Linked DNA regions of Saccharomyces cerevisiae S288C. Changing the gene in region 2 together with the main gene of any one other region gives a genetic interaction. Each region holds a gene or a part of one and is shown on either strand. Other genes may lie near its edges.

Region 1 (5,362 bases), on a different chromosome or scaffold from region 2:
TTGATTGCCTTTTGTAAGGAAAAGGGTATTGTTGTTGAAGCCTACTCACCATTTGGGAGTGCTAATGCTCCTTTACTAAAAGAGCAAGCAATTATTGATATGGCTAAAAAGCACGGCGTTGAGCCAGCACAGCTTATTATCAGTTGGAGTATTCAAAGAGGCTACGTTGTTCTGGCCAAATCGGTTAATCCTGAAAGAATTGTATCCAATTTTAAGATTTTCACTCTGCCTGAGGATGATTTCAAGACTATTAGTAACCTATCCAAAGTGCATGGTACAAAGAGAGTCGTTGATATGAAGTGGGGATCCTTCCCAATTTTCCAATGAGCGCGCTACATTACAGTTAATGCCTCCAGCAACCTGTAGTGCTTCTTTAAACCGATCCGATACAGCTGAAACAAACATTGATTTTACTAATTTTCATATAATATATACACATATATCGAATGATAATGCAAAATATAATTTAATGAAATTGGAAATACTCGGAAAATTTATCATTATCCTTTTCTTCTTTTGAACGTAAACTTCGGACCGTCGTCATCGTCGTCGTCGCCATCACCGTTATTAGAAGCCCCAAAAGAGCCACGTGATCTACTAGTTGCGCTTCTACTGTGTCTACTTTGCTTGGAACATTCTTCTGACAAGTTTGGCCGTAAGTTCATTTCCTTCACCACAAAAAGATTACGATTATTTTCTCTGTGATTTAGTCTATCGCTTTTATCATCAATATCACCCAGATCATCTTCATCAGTAATAAAAATTTTGTTTTTTAGTGGTTGAACGCTGGCTGCAGTACCTGAACAACGAGAAAAAGAAAACGAATCTTCTTCTCCTTCATTTGAACTATCCTCATTCGTGAATCTGTTTAGAGCTTGAGATCTTTTCTGGATAGTGTTTGAGTTTATATTATCGGACATAAATGTATTCGATCCAAATCTTTCCATCTCCGTCAAAGCAAACATATCTTCGTTTTCTTCTGTGCCCCATTTTGTAGTTGTATCCTTTTTGGAGTATTTTTTTAACGGAACATAATTTCTAGTGATTAAAAAGGCTGCATTTCGTATAAAATCTGAGCTTTGAGTGTTATTTTTACCCTCTTCTTTGTGCGCCTTTGATTTTGGACGTACCTTGACAAAAGTCTTGAAATTCTTGCGTTTATGCCATTCTGGCTCCATTAGGCTATTTTCCCATTTTTCAGTTGTTCTGCTTGTTTTGTTTCCCTCACTATCAAATGATTTCCTCAGTAAATTGTTACTAGGTTCTACAATAGCCAAATTTTTTAGCTGATTAATAGCTTCCTCGCTCAACTCCTCATCCTTCAATTCAACAATGGTTGACTTAACTCTTTTGACCTCTCTATTTTTAGTTTCTTGAATAGCTTCAACAAATGCGTGCGGCGTACCAGATTTCTCTTTAATAGATAACTCTTTTACAGGTGACTTACAATTTTCTTGTAATGGAGATGAAATTTCTCGTGAATAATTAGAAAGTTTACGGATGTTTTTAGAGGGTTGCTCTATATTCTGGTGATGATTCACCCTAAAATTCTTAGTAACTTCAGCATCATCCATCGAATTCACAGCAGCTGTTTCATAGTCAGCGGAGTTCGAAGATATGGTTTGAGAGCCAATCCCTGCTACCTCCGGCAATGACGGCTGTGGTAACTTATGTGACTGTAGCGACTTATCCAACGAATCCTCACTCGTGTTCACAGTACCTAAGTTGGGGCTACTGACAATTATAGCACCAGGGCTACTGTGACCACTTTTCTTTCCAATATCTTCAGTCGGCTTTAGTGCGTTTTGAAGAAATGGGGCGTGCTTTTCATCTGCCTCTGCAATGTTGGGACTTGAAATGACAGTCTTTGATTCTGCGCCACAATTAAGTCTCTTAGCGTCAGTTAAAGACCTATTTTCTGATAGAGTCTTAGTACTCAAACCTCCAGCAAAAAAATCAAGACTATCGAGTGGTAGTACTCTACGTCTATTTAATTTTCGCTTCTTCGAGACTACTGGACTAGCTTCAACTTCAGGTGCACGAGATGTTTTCAAAATAGTAGACATTCCTTCAGAAATTTGATCAAATTTACCGTTATCTAGAGTTCTTGAAGATGCACCCTTCATATTAATCACTGCGCTTAAGGTGCCATCTATTATTGATGTTAACATCGTTTTGATAGTACATAGAATTTTCCCATTTTCTTTCTTATCTGTAGTTGTCAAAATCAGGTATTCTGTTGATGCTTCCAAGCTGTCAACATATTTATATAAACTATCAATGTTGTCAAATGCAAATAAATTTATATTGAACGTCCGCAGGAGAGATGATAGACGTGGTTCACTTTTGATAGTAGTTAACACTCTGATATTATTCAGCCTCATAAACTTCGAAAGCAAAATATTTGGATCAAAATCAAAAACATTGTACTCCGGATTACTAATCATATCGTTCCACATTTCATCAAATTTTAAATTAGTTTTAGATGTGGGAAGAAGAGTATTACACAATTCCATCAGAAACCGTGATTTTTTCATGGGTATAGTACTAACAAGGGCATACAATTCCCGTATGCTGTTGTCCTCGCTCTTTGGGTAATCGCTAATCATCAGATTAGCGGGAATATCATTAATAGAAATCTCAGTGGAGATACCATATTCAGAAAGCATCGTCCTGAATTGTGTCAAATGAGGAGGAATGTTCCAGACTTCATTTATCCATTCGAACTCTATACGAATAGGAGTTGTACCCAGTTCAATTATTGTGGACTTTAAAACGTCCGAGGCATTAATAGTAAATGTTTCGCCAACTTTCATGAATTTTTTATTTAATGATGTCAATTTACCCTTGTTAACTAAACACAGGCTACTGTGTTTCAGATCCGAACTATTATTGATTTCCCATTTGAATGTGATATGCTGTCTGGAAATACTTTTATCATTTTTAATTATCAGTGGGTTTTTACTTGATCTACCTATACTATAAGTTTTGAAGGCCTGAAGACAACATGATATAAAGCTAATAGAGCCATCTTCCAATGTATTCTGGTATCGTACTACCCACATAAATTTATAGTTATCACCTTCTCAGTATTGTTGCTCATCTATTACAAAATTCTGCTTATTTGGTTTACGCATTGCTTTTCATAGAAAAAAAGGGCTCCCCATATAAATTTAAGAAAAGTACTAATATTTAGCGTAGTTAACAACTTTACGAAAATGAAAATGAAATATTTCTCGGAAAAGTATTATATATTATACACGTCTCTACATTCCAAATAATTCTACGTTTCTTGGAGTAGTCTTAAGTTTAGTGATGACGATGGCGTTGTTAGTATCTATACCGATTTCAAATGATTCTGGTTTTGTACTGCTATAGTCAGAGATATTTGCCTCCACCAGCTTACAAATTGCTTCAATACAATAATGACACCATTCTACCGCAATTTGGGCATTATAGTTAAGTTCCTTTTTATTTGTAGGTAGACCTGGGTGATTGAATTTCTTACATAATAAGTCCCTTGAGTACCATTGAATGTCTAGTAATTGACCGCTATGACTGTCCCTCAAACCTATCATGATATCTGAGTTCGGTAATAAACCCGTCTGTACCCACGTTTTCAGAAGTTTTCTCCTATGATTGGAATTGTGCATTGATAATGGGGCAAAACACTTTAGTTCTGTGTTTGTCTCCGAAACAGGATTGAATGCATCCATTTCGCAGCGAATTAAAAGACCAATTTCTTCTGAAAGTTTACTCTCTACAAGAGAAAAAATAGGACATTTAGAGCCAGTTAAATCAGCGACTTTGGAATTTTCGGTTACCCAATTTTCAAATTCAAATCCTGAATAGCAAATTTTCTTCATATTTGGATCATTTGAATAAATGCCCTCTTTGGACATTTGAGAATCTTTTTTTACATTTCTGCAAAATGAAAGAAGGCCCGCCCCCATATAAGTTACAATTAGTGACGTTTGTCTATTTCGCCTGTTAAAGAGATGCATAGTCAAATCTACGATATGATGTCTTGTGGTTACAACAGTAAATTTCTTGCCGATCTTAAAATCCTTACCAGGATTATCTAGTATCCAGTTCTCAATGTATGAAAAACACGGTGATACACTATCTAATTCGGATATTGTCATGGGAACGAACTCATCAATATTAGCAAATAAGTCATGGCCTAAATACGGGACTTTCCGCTTTTTTGCCTCAAGAAGCGAGCTTTCATACAATTCAGCAATACTTTCTTTCAAATTTGGTATAAGGTCTTTGCGTAGGATTGTATAAGCCCGGCCATTGGTAAACAGAGCTACTTCTTTACTTTCATGAAATATATCTCTTGGTGGTTTCGTCAAAAAATTGTGCATACCAGTATGCAGAAAAGACGTATATGGGATACATATAAGTTTCGGACGTCTCTTTCTATAATTGTCTCTCTGTTGTGAAGGCTTCCTTGACGAAGATGAATCAGAAGTAGTTTTCTCTTTGCATAATTTACTTTGGTGTCCTCTCTCGAGATTGGGCACAGTAAGCAAATTTATACCTTCTAAATCTTTGGCCAATCCAAGAACAGCATCTTGTTCAGTTGACATAACTGAGTTTGGCTAGAAAGAAAACTTTGACATAAAATCATCGATACCTACAACTGGCGCTGTAATGCAACAATGCCATTATAAAAGTAAAACATGCTGCGAAAATTGCGGAAAAACTGGAAAAATCAATAGTGGGGTAATCCCAGTTAGTTTGACACAATAATTTGGTGATTTTGGTGGAATAATCATTATTTGTGAGGATACACCAACGAAAAGAACCTTTTGTGGTAGTATGGTCCAACAATTGTATTTGCAGGTTGGTACTAACAACCTCTATAAGTAGACGATACAAGAGTGATCATATGGTAGGACACTCAGCTCAGCACAGATCAAAAAGCAGCTTAGTGTCTCACCTACTAATACTACTTATCTTTATAACGATTATTATTGAAATGTGTTTATATAATAAAATTTTTAAGAACCAAAGGTCGGATGATATTAGAGACAACTTTAACAATGGCGGACATCGAGTTCCCAGTAATGTCCAAAATCATGGAACCCATATAAGAGACGAAGCCTTTATATCAGGGGTCTATTATTCCAATTGGTCCCCATACAAACCGAGGTTTCATTTCCCTCACGACATAAACTTGAAGCAAGTGTCTCACATTTACTATGCATTTTTCAAAATAAACTCTAGAACTGGTGGTATAGAAAACACGGATAGTTGGTCTGATCTAGAAATGAATTTGTATAAATCGCTGGCAATTAAAAATTCAGAACTAATTAAAGAAAGCTCGAACAATAGTGTCCAAAACATCCTACCC
Region 2 (7,511 bases):
CTTTAGAATGGAGAAGATTGTTCAAGAAAATTTCAACTATCTGTAGGGATATTATCCTAATTCCCAACTGAAAAAAATGGAGACAAAAGAAGGGTTAAGATGCACTGATCAAAAAAAAAAAAAAATTCTTTCTACTTATTATATATCTCTCTCGATTTCTAGTGTGTCATCGTAACTATATATTGTTTCGAGAGATTTTATTATTGTAATTAATTTATTGCCATTTTGATCTATTCTACATACTAACAATCAATTCATATCATTATCCCTGTTTGAGTAATATTCGAGCCTCATCATAAAATCTAATAATTCAATTCTCAAGTTTCTTCTTTCTTCCACAGATATTCCGTTCAAGTCGCCCGGTGTGAACCCTCTCAATCTGGCCACTAACCTTCTCGACTTTTTTGAAAAAAAGTGCACTTTTAATGAAGGTGTGGCTTCCCTAGATGTAGCATCTTCGTTACCATCTCCCCCCAACAAAGGTTCGCCATCTGCTTCTGTGTGGGCTTGGCCTAATTGAATTTCATGGTGTTTTTCTTTTCCACCAATTGTTTTTGGTACGGTGTCTAAGCCATTCTGCGCGTTGATATTTGTATTTTCTGTCATTCGAGGAGGTGAATCTGGTGGCATTAACTCATTCCTTTGCAATCTCTTTTTCAATTTCTCTTTTATTTGGCTCTTTGACCCTTGCATTTTCAAAGAATTGAAAATGGGTATACGAATTTCTGGTAACACTGAAATATCAGCAACTTCGGGTTGTTCTTCTAGACCTGTCTCTTTAGATACCGCATGTTCCATTGATTTTAAAAAGCCCTCATCTCTGACATTTTCTTCAACAGGTACAAAATCGTCATTAATATTGGCATCCTTATCTCCTTTAAGCGGTCCCTTCAAATTTTTATTAAGTTCGCATGTTCCACTATCTTCTAAGCGTACATTGATACCTTCTTCGGTCATAACAACTTCCCTAGATTCTTCTTCAGTGCCTTGAATGGGTGTGCTGTCCATCCTGTCATTATTTTTGTTTCTACTGTTTATTGCACCCACTTGATGTTTCTCTTGCGCAACCGTTCCATGTTCATCTTCATCACTACGCAAGTCATCAACTTTTGATTTTTCTGTCTGCTTTGAACTATTGAGAAGTATAGTCCCACTCGGGATCTGAATGCCGTCTCCTGGCACCTCATTCCTTACTGGAGAGGCTTGTTCAACATTACAAGCATAATCGTTGTTTTCACCCTCATTATTAGGACGGGCTTTCTTCACGCTCTTGTACTGTGCAATATTGTCTTGCGTAAAACTTTTACTGTTGATTTTATTCATACTTTCCTGGTTCTCCTGTCTTTGAACATGTTCAACTTGCCCTTTTCCATCTTCCTTTGTTATGGTTTGCTGGTCAAGATCTAAAGTGACATTCAAGGAATTTTCATTACAGTTTGTTTCCACTTTTATGCTATTCCTTAAAGCTAACGAAGATTCTTCGTTGGCTATACTCTTGATGTTAGTACATATAACGTCACTGCTAGGCGACACCGCTTGTTCCTCAGAAACTAAAACGTCCACCATCGTTTCATGACCTTTCGATCTTTTATTTTCAGAGGTAGGCGTCTCTTTGGAAGGTCGTTTTAGAGGATTATCACTGTTAACAACGTTATGATCAGGATTCGTTTTGATAGATCTATTTGTTACCGCCTTCAGTTCGCTAGTGAGAACTTCTATCGGTTGGTATGCGTTCACTTCCGAGGATTGTGTATCAATACTTTCATGCAGCTCAGTAACATCCACCTCATCGCTTTTAGTAGAACAAATGTTGCTATGATTGGCCACGTTTTTATCTAACTGCGTACTCTTCATCTGCTGATCTATTTCTCTAATGCTTTCATTATCCACTTCCTCTAGTGTTTCATCATCAATTGATCTGCTTCGGTTAGCATGTGATTCTTGCTGTGAAGAATTCATTATTGCAGTATTTTTAAGCGATATTGAATCTGAATCTTTCGCACTAATCTGGGAAGATATTTGAATTGAGGAGGGAGGCTCTTTCATTCCCTGCGTAGCCGGAACCTGGATATCTTGAGAATCCACTTTTCTCTGTAAGTTTGAAAGTTTATTTTCACTCCCTTCGCATGGAATATACATCGACTTAGTGTCAGGTATAGCTTCAATTTCCTTACTTGAGTCCCCTTGATGAACCACGCCCGATTCCTGTATCCACTTTCCTATTGTCTTTAATGTTGCATTATAGGTTCTCTTATCTTTAAACTTACGATTATGTGATTTGATGAGGTCAATCAACAGATTAACCATATCAATAGTTTGATAGTTAGGGTTTGGCGGTAATATACTAATTAACATGGAAAAAAATTTTTTGGCGGCACTTCTAGAAAGCGGTTTAGTGAGATATAATAAGACTAATTCACGGAGCATATTTGTACTCTTTTTGTGTTTTTGCATATTAGAGCTAACTGGATTTAAGAAGAAAACTAAAAGTGGCTCCTTTAATTTTTCCAAAATTTGGATCTCTTTTTGTATAATAATCTTTTCAAGCAACTCCAATATATAATCATCATCTCCATTTTCAATTTTTTCAATAACTGCTGCCAGTAACTTCCCATTAGGCTTCTCCTTATACGTCAGTAATTTTAACAGTAGCTCTGGACTTATTTTGAAAAGAACTTCGCTGGTCATATTTCCGCAAAATTCATCCAAATGATCCGCCATATTATTCTTTATGCAAAAATTCAATAGGCCACTGAATAATGGTTCAATGGGATTTGCCATCGCCAGATGAAGGAGTTCTCTGATTATTTCTGATTTTTCTAACTCGCTATCAGACGCATTTTGTAAAACGTTCTCGATTTCTGAAAAATTTTGATTTAGCTGTTCAAGTTGTTGACCCTTCAACAGCCAACGAACTAATGTAAGCTGTTCGGAGCACTTGAATAGTTTTATGTTTGCTGCAAAATATGAAGCTCTGCTACGTGGTAACAGCTTCAATAGGAGATCTGAATTTAGATCAGGGATGGAATTTAGTAAATTTGGATTGGAATGAATACAGTACTCCAAAATATCCATAAATTTGTTACGCCTTAAAAATGGGAGCAGACCGGAAAACAGTTCAGGATTCCCTGGTAAAGAAGTTTTTAACAGCGTGATCAGATCCACGTTTAATTTGTTTTCATTTTTTGAAACATAGCTTTGAATGAAATAAATAAAATTATTGTTCGACCACATAGACACATGAAGTAGTGTAAACAAATTAACTGGAAAGCTGAGCTTCAAACATAGGTCCAAGAAATTTTCAATGGAATTTTCATTCGGAACTTTGTTCACAATATTCGCCAAACTCTGAAATTCTCTGAAAGATATATTTGGTGGTAATAACGTTGATCCAACCCAATTTTGGGCATATACTTCTGTTTTCTTATCATCCAATTCTAGAAACTTTTCTATTATCAGAAATTCAGATGTTTCGTTTCGAGCTTTCCTGATAACATCTTTTAAAAGATCAAGGGTCATGTTTCCTTGCGAAATACCAACTTTGGAAATTTGGATATTGAAATTTACTAATGATGAATCATTCTTTCTTAAAAACAGGTCCAAAAATGTATAAACAAACGATGAAGTAACAGCACCAAAAAAGTCACGAAAAATGGGTGTATCTTTGTTGTTTTGCGTGACTTTTAATATAAGACTGCTAAAGGATTCTAAATGAGTTTGGTCCTTTCTATCCTCTGGAAGATGCTTCAAAGATGTAAGGATCAGATCATGAGCCAAATTAACGTTAGAAATGGCTACTTCAACAGCCTGGAACACAACTTTCATGATTTTATCGTATTCACGCTTGATGATCTGCGGGGGCAGGCTTGAAATGTCTTTTAACTTTACACCTTCTGAGGCTATAACACTCATTGGGTGAATATGCTTTTTATATTTTCTTTCCAATGCAACATCTGCATTCTTTCCCCCAATTAACAAATGCAAAACTGTGAAGAGTACATTTTGCAAGTGAATCGAATCATATTTGAAAACATAATCTTCATAAATCGGGGTTATTAGGTGGTCCCAAAATAGTTCAAACATATCTGTTGACAAATTCTTATTACTTGTAAATGCAGTGTAAACAACACCTAAAAGGTGGTAGATGATCCCTTCTCTAGCGCTTGGATCATTCACATAAGGAAGCGTCATTTGAAAAGGGGTTCGTAAAAGTGACAGTAAACTTTTGTTTCCTTCCTGATTTTTCTGTGATATTTTCGTGCATATGCAGTAGGTAATAATTCTCCAAACTTTGATGGACATTAAGCGAGTCTTGGGGTGATTATTGATAAAGCACAGGTTATTTAAATCAAACCAAACTTTGTTAGATTCTGATGTCAAATCATAAACTCTCTTTCCGCTATCGTATAGTAATCCGGTCATTGAAAGCCACAAATCCATTGCTATTTTATTGTCATTTTTGACCACAATATAGTTTTTTATCTGCTGTGTAAGAAGATGACCAATTGTCACTTTATCTAAATTAGCGCTGTCATATGAATTTAACGGTAGTTTAGATAAAAATTTTTCCGGGATTGTTTCGCATACTGGAGATAGCATGATACACTGGTAAATCCTTTCATGTTCATCAACAAAATCTAAGCATTTTTTTAGTAGTTCCAGTAAAACAACTATTGAAGTTATGAGAATTTTCATGGAGTAAATTTCATCTCCGATAATAATCCTAGGTAGTACCTCACCTGGTAACCAAGAAGTTACCGTCTCAATCATTAATTTTGGATACTTGCTCAAAAATCCCCTTATAAGTAGCAATTTTTCATATATTAGGTTGTGACTATTGATTTCCATTATTTCAGTGAAAGTGCTAATGATAGGTTTAATTTCTTCGTTGCTCAAGAAAAAAGTACCAAATTTTTCGTCTCTCAAGAAAGAGACTTGTGCTGTTATGATTATCTTGTTTGAATTTTCATTTCTTAGCGCACCGGTGGTCCACCTGTAAATAACTTTTAACTTATTAACCAAATCTGGCCTTTTCGTTAGCCACTTAACGATTTTGAAATTAGACATAATAGCACTGAAGAATCGAACTATTTGAACATATAGTCTGATTACAAATGGATTTTTTTTTTCACTACTACTTAATAATGTGTCCTGTGCTATTTGTAGATGCGGTATGCATATTTCAATGATACTTTCTATATTCACAATTAGAATATTGAATTTCTGATCAACCTCGTTAACATTTTTAGTGGTTAGAATGGGTATAATATTATTAAAGGTTGCGTATACCTCAAACCTCCTCGCGACGTAATCTTCAGATTCTTGTCGCAAGATGCCCAATCCGCCCTCAATAATTTCTTTAAACTCCGAAACACTTTCATTATCAACTAAACCATGGATCTCACCACTCACCCAATACTCTAAGGCGCGAGGATTTACCCTTGTTTCCTTATAAGGTGATGTGAAAATATTACCGTTGTGTAATTTGTGTTGGGTATATTGGAGTTTATTGTAACTCAAGTCGCTTACAGTCCTCACTGAAGGCAACCTATTCCTCAAAATTGATTTTCCTGGTTTGCTTGATGGAGAGGGTTTAGGTGAGGAACCTGGTATGCGGTAAATCGGTGATGATTCTATCCTATCAGAAAAAGCTACACTTTTTGTAACCGGTGATACATTATCACTATTAGAGGCAGACAACTCTGGAAGACTTTGCATTAGCCTGCTTCCTGTATCTTCTGGATATAAATTCTTGTTAATAGCTGATAAATCAAATTGTTTATTCTCGCAATCACTTGAAGACGCTAGCTTTCGCCTCTTTGGCGTTGGCGATAGATCGCTTTGTATATGCATATGAGCTTGTGGAGATGGAGGTGGCAAGTTAGTTTTCATCCACGGAGAGCTTCCATTGGAATAATTATCGTGTTGAGACCTACGGAGGATATGCTGATCAATTCGATCTATCGTATGTTTCTTTTTATCTGAAAAATCTTTCGACATTGCAAATTGACCACAAAAACGATTTTGCAATGGCAATCCTGTAATAACGTTGACGAATATATATATATATATTCACTTTTATCTCCTTAGGTACTGATGCCGACGAATTGCCTCAAATCGCTCTAAGACTGCGTTATTACTTTCGATCTTCTTGCTAACGATGAGTCGCCAATAAATAAAAAATCGACGCGTCGGTCAATTATAGTAACTTCTATTATTGTAGTAAATATGACATAAGAGGAAAAACACAAAGAACTGAAAATCAAAATGGCACTAATCACCTGCCTTCTGTTGACTTCTTGTTTCTTATCAAAAGTAGAGTATATTCACGATGTAAATCTAAGATAGCTGTCCTTACTATATAAATATTTGCTGCGGCCCTTTTTTAACGATTTGTAAAGGATTACAGCAGTTCGTTATACTTGGCTGATAGCGTTAATTTTGCATACTTTTCTTATAATTGGTAATTTTCCTACGTATTATACAGTTGTACGTATACTTATATAACAAAGTTCATGTGTACTTCATATTAACCTCAGCGATACCCCTACAGATGATGTGCCAATCCATAGTTTTGTCTTTTTCGCGATTATAATGCTTTTTCCACCATTTGAAGAGCTCATATACGAAGAACAAGTTTGGTTGAATGATAACATTAAGCCTCCGTACCCTCACAAACAAATACGCACTTGCCAGGTCACACTGGAGATATCTCATACATTCAGCTATACAAACTGTTGCAGATCTGGAGACTCCGACCATACAATGCACCAGAACTTTCCCTCCTGTTGCTTCGGAATTGCTAATAAAATCCAAAACTTTGTCTATTTGGTGGAAAAGCGGATCTTTGCCGTTGTCATCTAGATTTTCGATCTGGCAAATTTGAAATCCAGAATTTTCACTTATTACTACGTTGCTGCCATTTTCTTGCTTATCGCTGACCACAGTATCAGCTCTATTTCTGCTTTTATTACATGTAGTATTACCTGCAACTTCATTGGTATTCGTCATAGTTATTGCACGATGTGGCCTTACAGGATGAGCAATTTTATCCTTATTCAATGTCCATGAAACAACTTCACCGACAGAAACTATATGCGTAATTCCTAGAGACTTAAGTAAGGCAGGATTTTGTGCATGATCCAGGGATCCCAAATACAAGTGACGTAGAATCCGGGATGGCAGTGGGCCCTTCAAATTAACGAAATTAGACTCAAGAGGAATCTTCATAAAAAATATGCTACTAAAAAGCTCTGAAGAAATGTGTAATTGAAAGCTTTTATCCCTAAATTTCAATGCATTGGCATATAATTTTAGATTACTTCCATTCTGCGGACTAAACTCCCGCAGGACAGGTTGTAAATGGCCTAAAATTTGCAAGTCTGATGGAAAAAGGAAAAATGGTCTTGGATGGATCCTCAAAAGAGCGTCTTGTAACGGAATATTAAAGTGGAATATAATATAAGCTGTTAATAATAATGACGTTTCTGTATATCCGTCTTCGCAATACA

What was found. A genetic interaction does not mean that the proteins touch.
Region 1: mutations in RIF1 (region 2) and XRS2 together harm fitness more than expected from each alone (negative genetic interaction), as found in Saccharomyces cerevisiae (3 studies listed by BioGRID).

What each region holds. Positions count from the first base shown.
Region 1 is NC_001136.10:1,214,516-1,219,877, forward strand, and holds XRS2 (Xrs2p), read right to left. Parts: upstream 3,066-5,362; coding exon 501-3,065; downstream 1-500. Other genes in the region: trifunctional aldehyde reductase/carbonyl reductase (NADPH)/glucose 1-dehydrogenase (NADP(+)) YPR1, read left to right, coding at 1-327; DXO1 (Dxo1p), read right to left, coding at 3,267-4,595; CTS2 (putative chitinase), read left to right, coding at 4,898-5,362. UniProt on the Saccharomyces cerevisiae protein: Component of the MRN complex, which plays a central role in double-strand break (DSB) repair, DNA recombination, maintenance of telomere integrity and meiosis.
Region 2 is NC_001134.8:751,107-758,617, forward strand, and holds RIF1 (DNA-binding protein RIF1), read right to left. Parts: upstream 6,001-7,511; coding exon 250-6,000; downstream 1-249. Other genes in the region: serine/threonine protein kinase CHK1, read left to right, coding at 1-71; tyrosine/serine/threonine protein phosphatase PPS1, read right to left, coding at 6,514-7,511. UniProt on the Saccharomyces cerevisiae protein: Negatively regulates telomere length by preventing telomere elongation or promoting degradation of the telomere ends. Recruited to telomeres by interaction with the C-terminus of RAP1, which binds directly to telomeric repeat DNA.